2 linked regions of the Oryctolagus cuniculus genome follow. Each later gene encodes a partner of the first gene's protein in a complex. Links are inferred from orthologs where the notes say so. Each region holds a gene or a part of one and is shown in the gene's direction. Other genes may lie near its edges.

What was found.
Region 2: the proteins of PTH1R (region 1) and PTH are in contact, whole or in part, in a cryo-EM structure (PDB 9JR3), measured with the Homo sapiens proteins. The link is inferred for Oryctolagus cuniculus from reciprocal best matches to the Homo sapiens genes PTH1R and PTH. Residues at the interface, in NP_000307.1 of Homo sapiens: Val31, Met32, Thr33, Lys34, Glu35, Gln37, Ile38, Leu41, Glu111, Trp112, Asp113, His114, Ile115, Ile135, Tyr136, Asp137, Phe138, Arg146, Arg162, Thr163, Ala165, Tyr167, Val171, Leu174, Thr175, Glu177, Glu180, Arg181, Phe184, Leu187; in NP_000306.1 of Homo sapiens: Ser32, Val33, Ser34, Glu35, Ile36, Gln37, Leu38, Met39, His40, Asn41, Leu42, Gly43, Lys44, His45, Leu46, Asn47, Glu50, Arg51, Val52, Glu53, Trp54, Leu55, Arg56, Lys58, Leu59, Asp61, Val62, His63, Asn64, Phe65.

What each region holds. Positions count from the first base shown.
Region 1 is NC_091441.1:101,878,067-101,882,463, reverse strand, and holds the start of PTH1R (parathyroid hormone/parathyroid hormone-related peptide receptor), read left to right. Parts: upstream 1-1,364; 5' UTR 1,365-1,379; coding exon 1,380-1,803; intron 1,804-2,802; coding exon 2,803-2,925; intron 2,926-4,397.
Region 2 is NC_091432.1:52,704,127-52,708,572, forward strand, and holds the start of PTH (parathyroid hormone), read left to right. Parts: upstream 1-1,451; 5' UTR 1,452-4,037; coding exon 4,038-4,171; intron 4,172-4,288; coding exon 4,289-4,446. UniProt on the Homo sapiens protein: Parathyroid hormone elevates calcium level by dissolving the salts in bone and preventing their renal excretion. Acts by binding to its receptor, PTH1R, activating G protein-coupled receptor signaling.

The sequences.
Region 1 (4,397 bases):
TTGGGAGGCCAGTGGTCACAGAGCCACACAGCTGGGAGTCCCTCAGATCCAGACACAGAGCTGGGCCATTGTGGGAGCCCACACATCCCAGAAAGCAGCAGCCCCCCTGAGGATGCAGGGTGTGGGGACACAGAGGGCAGGGCTATCCTTTCCACCAAGGACAGGTGCTCATCTGACCCTGGCAGAGGCTGCTGGGGGAACAGAGGCAGGACAGAAAACTTGGTGGGGGCGGGGGGTGGGGTGGCGGCCAGCACCACAGCCCAGGGTCTGGGAGCCTCTTTGCAGGACATTGTCTACTGCCCAGTGCTTGAATGGCAGGAGAGACCTGAGGAGGGCGGGGCCGTGGAAGCTGCCTCTGGATTCCAGCAGCCCTAGGGTTCAGCTTGAGGCACTGTACACTGTAGGGGAGGGACAGTCCATGAGATGGGGTGCTCCCTTCCTCAGGCTGAGTCTGGGGACTCCCTGGAGCCCTTGGGCCTGAACACCCACCCAGGAGTGAGGGTGGGGTGGGGTGGGGAGTGAGGGGTAAAGTCAGTAGCACCCGTTGGACCAGCTGGTCAACTTCCCCATTTCACAGATGAAGAAACTGAGGCGTAGCCTACAGGACAGCCACAGTGCCGGGGACACACGATCGGTAAGCAGAGGCTGCCACTTAGGGTGTGTGTACACACTGCACCTGCCCAGGAAGCCCCAGCCCTTCCCTCTGCCTCAGCTTCCCCAACGGTGCCAGAGGTGGTAGGTTTGGGGTCGAAGGCGACCCCTGCAGCTCTGACGTCCCCTCTCTCGCCGAACACATGAGCCCCGCCCACGACCCCCCTCCCGAAACTTCTGCCTTCCCTTTCCTCAAATCGCGGGTCCTCAGCGGACCCCGGCAGGCCACAAGCGTTTTGGGGCGGGAGGGGGGGTGTCCTGGCTGCTCAGAGCTCCTCCTCCCATTTCCCTCCCCCCGCCCCGCCCCGCGCCACGGGCCGGGGCCAGGCACCGCACTGGAGAGGGCCGGCCAGCGACACCTGGACTGGAAAGAGATGGGTGGGACCGGGACGTGAGGATGAGACGGGGGCGCGTCTGGGGCCCGAGCACCCCAACTCGCGCAAGATGGGGCAGGGGCCCCGCGGTGGGGCGGGGCGGGCCGGAGGGCGGCAGCGGCCAAGCAGCCTCTCCAGGGACCCCGGTCCCAGCCCCGAGCGGGAGACCGGCAGGCGGCCGGGGAACGCCGAGTCCCGGGCAGCCTCCCCACGGGATCCTCCCGGGAGAGGGCCTGCCTGGCGGCCGAGGATGCCTGCTTGGACCGGACGATCAGAACACAAATTAATAAATAAATATAAAAGTCTGTGTTTTCCCGAAGAGGAGGACGAAGCGCGGCGGTGTCCCAGGCCCCGATGTCAGAGCTCTCCCGGCTCAGACTCCCAAGACTCGCGTCCCGCCGCCGGGCGACCCCGGGCCGCGGCCTCGACAGAAGCGTCCCGGGGCGGGGGGCGGCGGGCTCCGTCCGGCCCCTCCACGCTGCCGTCGGAGGCCACGCGGGTGGGGGCGGGGAGCCCGGGGAGGGCGCGGGGGAGGGCAGAGGCGCCCGACCGGGGGAGGGGCGCGGCAGACGCCGAGGCGAGGGACGCGCGCTCGGCGGGCGGCGGCTCGGAGCGGCGGCGGCCGGGCGGGGGGCGCTGGAGGCCGGGCCGGCCAGGGGGGGATCCCGAGAGCTCCATGAAGCCCCCCCGGGGCCGCGGACGGGGCGCTGGCTGGGGGAGGCTGTCGGGGGGGCCCCGACATCCATGGCAAGGCGGGGGCCGCGGCGGCGCGCTCGGAGTAAGTGGGGGCTGGGGGCCGGCGCCGAGGGGGAGGCCGGAGGTGGGCAGGGGCGACTCCCGGCGCGGCCGGGCCGGCCGGGCCGCTCTGTCTCGATGTCTGTCGGCGGCGCCTCCTCGGAGCCCGGTGGAGCCGCCAGCCCCGCGCCGCTCGGCTCGGTGGCTTTTTTGGAAACTTGCAAATGTTTTCGTAGAGAGGGAAGGGGGAGGGGAACGAGGGAGTGACCGAAACCGAGCTGGTTGGGGCCGCTGGAAGCACGGAGGCCAAGACCGGGGGAGCTAGAGACGGACTGACCGACAGACGGACAGACAGAGCGTCGGGGCCGCAAGCGCGCTCGTGCCGCGCGGGCGCAGGCGGGGCTCCGGCCGAGGATGGGCAGGGGGTGCCGGAGGCGGCCGCTGGGGGCAGGGGGCCGAGGGACTGGGAGCTGGCGGCCGGAGCTGCCAAGGGCTCAGCGCCGCGGCAAAGTTGGGATCGTGTCCCCGCGCTGCACGCCTCGCGCGGCTCGAAACGCGCCCCCTGCCCCGCCCTGACTCCTCGGCAGCCCCACGCCGCCGAGCTAAAAATAACAGCTCTGCTCGCCCCCCGCAGACCGCGACCCCGACCCCTCCCCCACCCCTCCCCCACTGGGCGTGGGGCGAAGCCGCAGCTCCCAGTTCCCCCAAAGGAAAAAAAAAGAGAGAGAAAGAAAAGGCGGCGCGGGAGGGGGGCGAGGGGCGGGCCGGGGGCGGGGGGCCCGGCCATATGGATGTGATTTCTCCGCTCCGAGGCAGACGGGCCGCTCCGCAGCGCTCGGCGCCCGCCCGCCGCCCGCCCGGCCTCAGGCTGCCGCCCGCCCTCCCTCCCTCCATCCCTCGCTTGCTCGCTCACTCGCCCGCCCTTGGCGCATGGGCCCCGCGCCGGGCCCCGGGGCCTCGGGCCGCCCGGACGCCGGGGTCCCCTAGGCCGGGGCGTGGGCGGGGCGGCCCGGCCTGACGCAGCTCTGCACCCCTACACCAGGGCCGGCGGCGGTGGCTGCCCCGAGGGACGCGGCCCTAGGCGGTGGCGATGGGGGCCGCCCGGATCGCACCCGGCCTGGCGCTCCTGCTCTGTTGCCCCGTGCTCAGCTCCGCGTACGCGCTGGTAAGTCCCTCGCTGCTCACGATCCGGGACAGGCTGGGCGCTTGCCCTGGAGTCCCTGGGGCGCGTTTACGGCGGGAAGTCTTGGGTTCCCCCAGTGGTCTGAACATCGAGTGGGGGGTCCCCTCTGGCGTCTGTTGTCTTGGAGCATCTGGACTGTGGGTTCCGGATGCTGAGGTCTCCCCATTTGGGGAAGACTGGTGGGGTTTCCCTGCTCTCTGCTTGTCTGAGCACTGCCTGGTTGTGTCTCCTTCGGAGGTGACAATGTGATGGAGTAGAAGGCCGGACCTTGGCCCCGGGTGTGGAGTCACACAAAACGTTTGCTTTGGGGTTCCTCGGTTTTCTGCAAGTTTTGTTTGCAGCCTTGGACACCGGGCTGTGTCTGAGGTTGGGGTAGGTTTTAGGGGCTCCCTCCAGGTCTCGTGATCACCCACTTAGACACATGCGTGAACACATGTCCAGCTTCACCCAGAGCTGAAGCCCCTTGCCCAGGAGGGAGGGATGGAAGTCCCTTGGAGACTGACCTCGTTGGACATCTCTGCAGGAGAAACACACTTAGGGGGGCTCTGGTAAGTGAGGAGATGGACGGCTGGGCTCCCCCAGAGTGGAGAGCAGCAGACAGAACAGTAGAAAACGCTAGGGAGAGACAGGGACAAAGGGAGAACAGAGGAGCGGGGAGACAGGCGAAGGCAGAGACTCAGAGGGGCAGCACCTGCCTGTCCCGAGCTGGGTCAGTGGCTGGGGCTAGGGGATGTCCCATCCTCTTATTCATATCCAACAGCAGCCCTGCCCCAGGGACCAGCCCCTTACTAAGGAGGGGCTCTGCCTGTAGCCCTGACCTCTAGACCCCTGCTGTCCTCTGCCCAGATGGGGCCATCTGCCTTCTGGTGAGCAGTACGGGCAGGTGCTCCCTCCTCCTGACCAGCAGCAGAACCCCACGCGAGAGGCAGGAGCCCTGGGGCTCCCCTGGCTGTGCCTGGTGCCTGTGCAGCCTTGGGCTAGCCTTTGCCATGCTTCTGATGTCCCGAGTTCAGGAGAGAAACATTTTCCAGAAAATGCCCTGCTTTGCGGCTCTCCCCTCCTCTGAGGTCCTCTGCAACCCCGCCGAACCAGTGTCCAAGTGCTCGCAGTCCTGGCTGCAGCAAAGGATCCCCAGAGCCAAGGACTCGGGATAGGGAAACTGAGCTCAGGGGGGCTCAGCACCCTGCAGAGGTGCACCGAGCACTAGCATGGGGGGGTGCAGCGGAGCCTTCCCCACCCTGCCTCAGGGAGCTCTGTGCATGCACACATATGCATCAGTGGGACTGGCAAGTGCCAATGAGTGGCTGGTGTGGGTGTCCCGCCCAGGGCTTGGGGGGCTTGGCGTGGTGGTGTCTGGGCCTGTGGGGCCGTGAGTGTCTGAGTCCACATGTGAAGTCAGGAGCCCGTACAAGAGCTGCAGGGTAGTCGTGCACGCGTGTGTGCGTGTGTTGTGT
Region 2 (4,446 bases), on another chromosome or scaffold:
GGCTGCTGAAATTATTGGAACTGGAGAAGTGAGTGGCAGCAGAAGGCTGCCATTCAATTTTGGAGCAGGCCTTCAATCATCAGTTGGAAAAATTGAGATTCAAACCCCAATCCCTGGACAGAGAGTTTACAAAGGGCTTAGGCAAATTAAGCCCAAGAAGACTGGAGGTCAAAGAAGGGCCATATTTTAATGGGAAACTAGGATACTGAGAATCCAATGGCTCTGGAGTCATAAAGACCTTTGTTGAATTCCATCTTCTCCACTTTCCAAGTCTAATTTTCCTCAGGTGAAAATGGGAATAACAATAATACCTACTTTAAGGCACCTCTATGAAGGCTTAGTAAATAATGCATGTAGTGTCTAATATAGTATTAGTGCTTCAGAAATGTTATTGCAGATTAAAATGTATAAATGGAATGTAAATTAAATGATTTTTTAAAGGTTTATTTATTTATTTTAAAGGTAGAGTAACAGAGACAGAGGCAAAGTGGGGCGAGGGGGGTCTTCCATTTGCTGGTTCACTTCCCAAATGGCTGCAATGGCTGGAGCTGGGCCGATTTGAAGCCAGGAGCCAGGAGCATCTTCTGGGTCTCCCATGCGGGTGCAGGGGTCCAAGGACTTGGGCCATCTTCTACTGCTTTCCCAGGACATAGTAGTGAGCACTATTGGAAGTGGTACAGCCAAGCCTCGAACCAGTGCCCACATGGGATGCCGGCACTGCAGGCTGCTGCTTTACCTGCTACCCCAAAGCGGCAGCCCCAGTTAAATGAATTTTAGAATAACTTCACTTTTGAAGCTTATAAGAGGAATTATGCCCTAAGAACATTTTCTGGTTATTTTTAACACTTTCTTTAGGAAAAATACTATAGTTTTTGAAATATGACTAGAGTGACTGATATGAATTTGTTGAGAATGGTTTATAAAGTTAGCATAGCTCATATGACTGCTTATCATAACAACTGTGTCAATAGTATGATTATAACAAATACACTTATTTTCAAATTTTAAGGTAACATGATAAGTCACAAATCTTTGAAATCAGGCTTTTTAAAGGTATGAATTCAGATTCATCAACCTAGTCGAATTTTTCTCTGAAGTAAAGTTCAATACTTGTTAGAAATCTTCGTGTAAGCACTTTTCCCGGTCCGGTACTATTTTCCTTTTCATATCCAATAATCTAAAACTTAAGAGGGGTGGGTCCTGCCCAGTAGGGGTTGTGTGCTGCTGTGATCCCACATTTGACCTTCTGAGAGCTGGGAGTGGCAAGATCTGGGAGAATAAAAAGCTTTTCTCAGAGGGCCAGAGACCTGTTGTGAATGTCCCGTTGGCTGCTCTGCACTGCACTCCATCGGCATTGTCACGTCGACTCGACATTCATAGAGCATCCGCTGCCACTCACCTGAAAGAAGCCCTTGTCCTAAGACATTGTCGGGTGAGTCCCCTGCGATTTTATCTTGTTTTTAAAACAAGATAAATGAGAATTTTGATAACCAAACAATTGTGTTAGACCATTTTCTACAAATATGTTGTTCATTCACAGTAAAATCTTTAAATGAGGTTGAATTATTTTAAAGATTAAATGCAACAATACAGAAATTAATGCTAAAATGTTCTTAAATTATGCATCTTTCTGATTAGATATTTTGCTTTTTCTAAACTCATTTGAAATTTCAGGAAAAAATAATCAAAATCTGACATTTTAGCAGTCTATCAAAATTTTGAAATAAAATAGGCTGACAGTAAATTGAACATTTCTGATTTAAATAATCATTATAAATTCATTAAGCAGAATTAAAATTCAGTTTTTCCTGCAGAGTAGGAAATGCCTTACATTGATGGTATCCTTAATTGCTTGTTGGGGCTTAATCTGAATACTAAAGTTGGATAAACTCAGTTTTGTTACTGAATAATTATTTCCTTTACACAAATAACAACTTTTTCTAATTTCCTATGCTGAAAATTGTACATGAATTTTAAGGATGTTTAACAACCACTTTTCCACTCTTTTTTGTGATATTCTTTTTTTTAAAGATTTATTTATTTATTCAAAAGTGAGAGTTACACAGACAGAGGAGAGGCAGAGAAAGAGAGAGAGAGGTCTTCCATCTGTTGGTTCACTCCCCAGTTGGCCACAACGGCTGGAGCTGTGCCCATCCAAAGCCAAGAGCTGGGAGCTGCTTCTGGGTCTCCTACGCAGATGCAGGGGCCCAAGGACTTGGGCCATCTTCTACTGCTTTCCCAGGCCATAGCAGAGAGCTAGATAGGAAGTGGAGCAGCCAGGTCTCAAACTGGCACCCATATGGGATGCTGGCGCTTCAGGCCAGGGCATTAACCCATTGTGCCAGAGCGCTGGCCCCTGTGATATTCTTCTAAGAAGCCTATCTCCCCCATTAAGAGCAAAGAAGCAAAACAGAGAGATGTCAGAGGTCGTAGCTGAATGTGACAGAGCCAGGATTAGAAACCAGTGTTGCTGTCCTCCTGCTACCTGGCATGTTTCTAACCTAAACGAAAAAGTTCCTTTACTGCCCCCATATTATTATATAGTGAACAGAAATGTGGCAGGCTTTTATGTTTGTTACATTATTTCTAAATGATATAGTTTCTCTTCAAAGTAGAAGTACCACACTCCTCCATGTGTATGTTGGAAGGTAGATCTCTGAGCTTTTAGAAGAACTTCTATAGTAACAGCATTTGCAATGATTGAAATGCAGATTAAGGCATGACTATTTTATAGTGAAATAAGAAGTTTATTGAGCAAAAAGAGGTGCTAAAATTTTGCTAAAACATAGCTGCTAGGGCTGGTGTTGTGGCGTAGTGGGTTAAGCCATGGCCAGCGATGCTGACATACCCCACGGGTGACATGAGTCCCAGCTGTTCCACTTCTGGTCTAGCTCCCTACTAATGTGCCTGGGTATGCAGCAGCAGATGGCCCAAGTGCACCCATGTGGGAAACTCCAGTGAACCTCCTGGCTCCCAGCTTCAGCCTGGCCCAGCCCCCATTTGGGGAACGAAACAGTGGATGGAAGATCTCTTTCTGTCTCTGGAACTCTGCCTTCCAAATAAATAAATTTTTAAAAATAGTTCCTAATAAAATGAATTGGAAAAATAAATTCAGATAAGCATTTTATTAAGAACTGAAGCTTGAAATACACATAATAAACAATTCTATTATATTTATTTATTTATTTATTTTGACAGGCAGAGTAGACAGTGAGAGAGAGAGACAGAGAGAAAGGTCTTCCTTTGCCGTTGGTTCACCCTCCAATGGCCGCCGCGGCCAGCGCACTGTGGCCGGCGCACCGTGCTGATCTGATGGCAGGAGCCAGGTGCTTCTCCTGGTCTCCCATGGGGTGCAGGGCCCAAGCACTTGGGTCATCCTCCACTGCACTCCCTGGCCATAGCAGAGAGCTGTCCTGGAAGAGGGACAACAGGGACAGAATCCAGTGCCCCGACCGGGACTAGAACCCGGTGTGCCGGCGCCGCAAGGTGGAGGATTAGCCTAGTGAGCCGCAGCACCGGCCCTAATTCTATGATATTTAAATGCTGTGACAGTCTTTTCAATGCCAGGGGAAGTGTGTGTTAATTCAAAAAAAACTCTAAATCAGAGCTTATTAATTTGGTATTTAGAGTTATCATTGTAGTACCTGAAAAGAAGTTTACCTATGAAAAAAGGATTGGCTAAGTAAATAAACAGTGTTGACAATTTACCTAATTAAGAGAATTAGCCATTTTCAAGCAAATTATAACCATCTAGGAATAACCAACATAAAATGTGAGAGGAAATTCTCAAAACTAAGATCTTGCATCTTCTCATTGCTGAAAATTCACATACTAAAATGTGCAAAAAAATCTCAGAAATATACTAAGAAAGCATCCCTAATCTAAATTCTATATCAAATATTTGTATTTGTACTAACATATCCATAAAATAGAGACTGATTCCAAAAGGCTCTCATGGAAACCAACCCAGTGTCATGCTGTGTGTGTGGTATGGTTATTAAGGTAAGCTACAAATATGTATTTATATAGTTTGAAATATGAAAAACATGTTAAAATGTCTCTATTTTGCTTTCCTTTTAGAGAAGATGATGTCTGCTCAAGACATGGCTAAAGTAATGATTGTCATGTTTGCAATTTGTTTTCTTGCCAAATTGGATGGGAAACCTGTGCAGTAAGTACTGTGGCCCATTCTTCATGGTGAGGGCATGGGAACTGCATTGTTAAGGCTGGCTTTATGATATGGAAGCGGAGTGCTCATGGGATGACCCTCTCTTCTCTTCTCTCCCAGGAAGAGAGCTGTGAGTGAAATACAGTTCATGCACAGCCTGGGCAAACATCTCACAGTGATGGAGAGGGTAGAATGGCTGCGGAAGAAGATGCAGGAGGTGCACAATTTTATTGGCCTCAGAGTTCCTCTAGCTCCCAGAGAAGGGGGTTCCCAGAGGC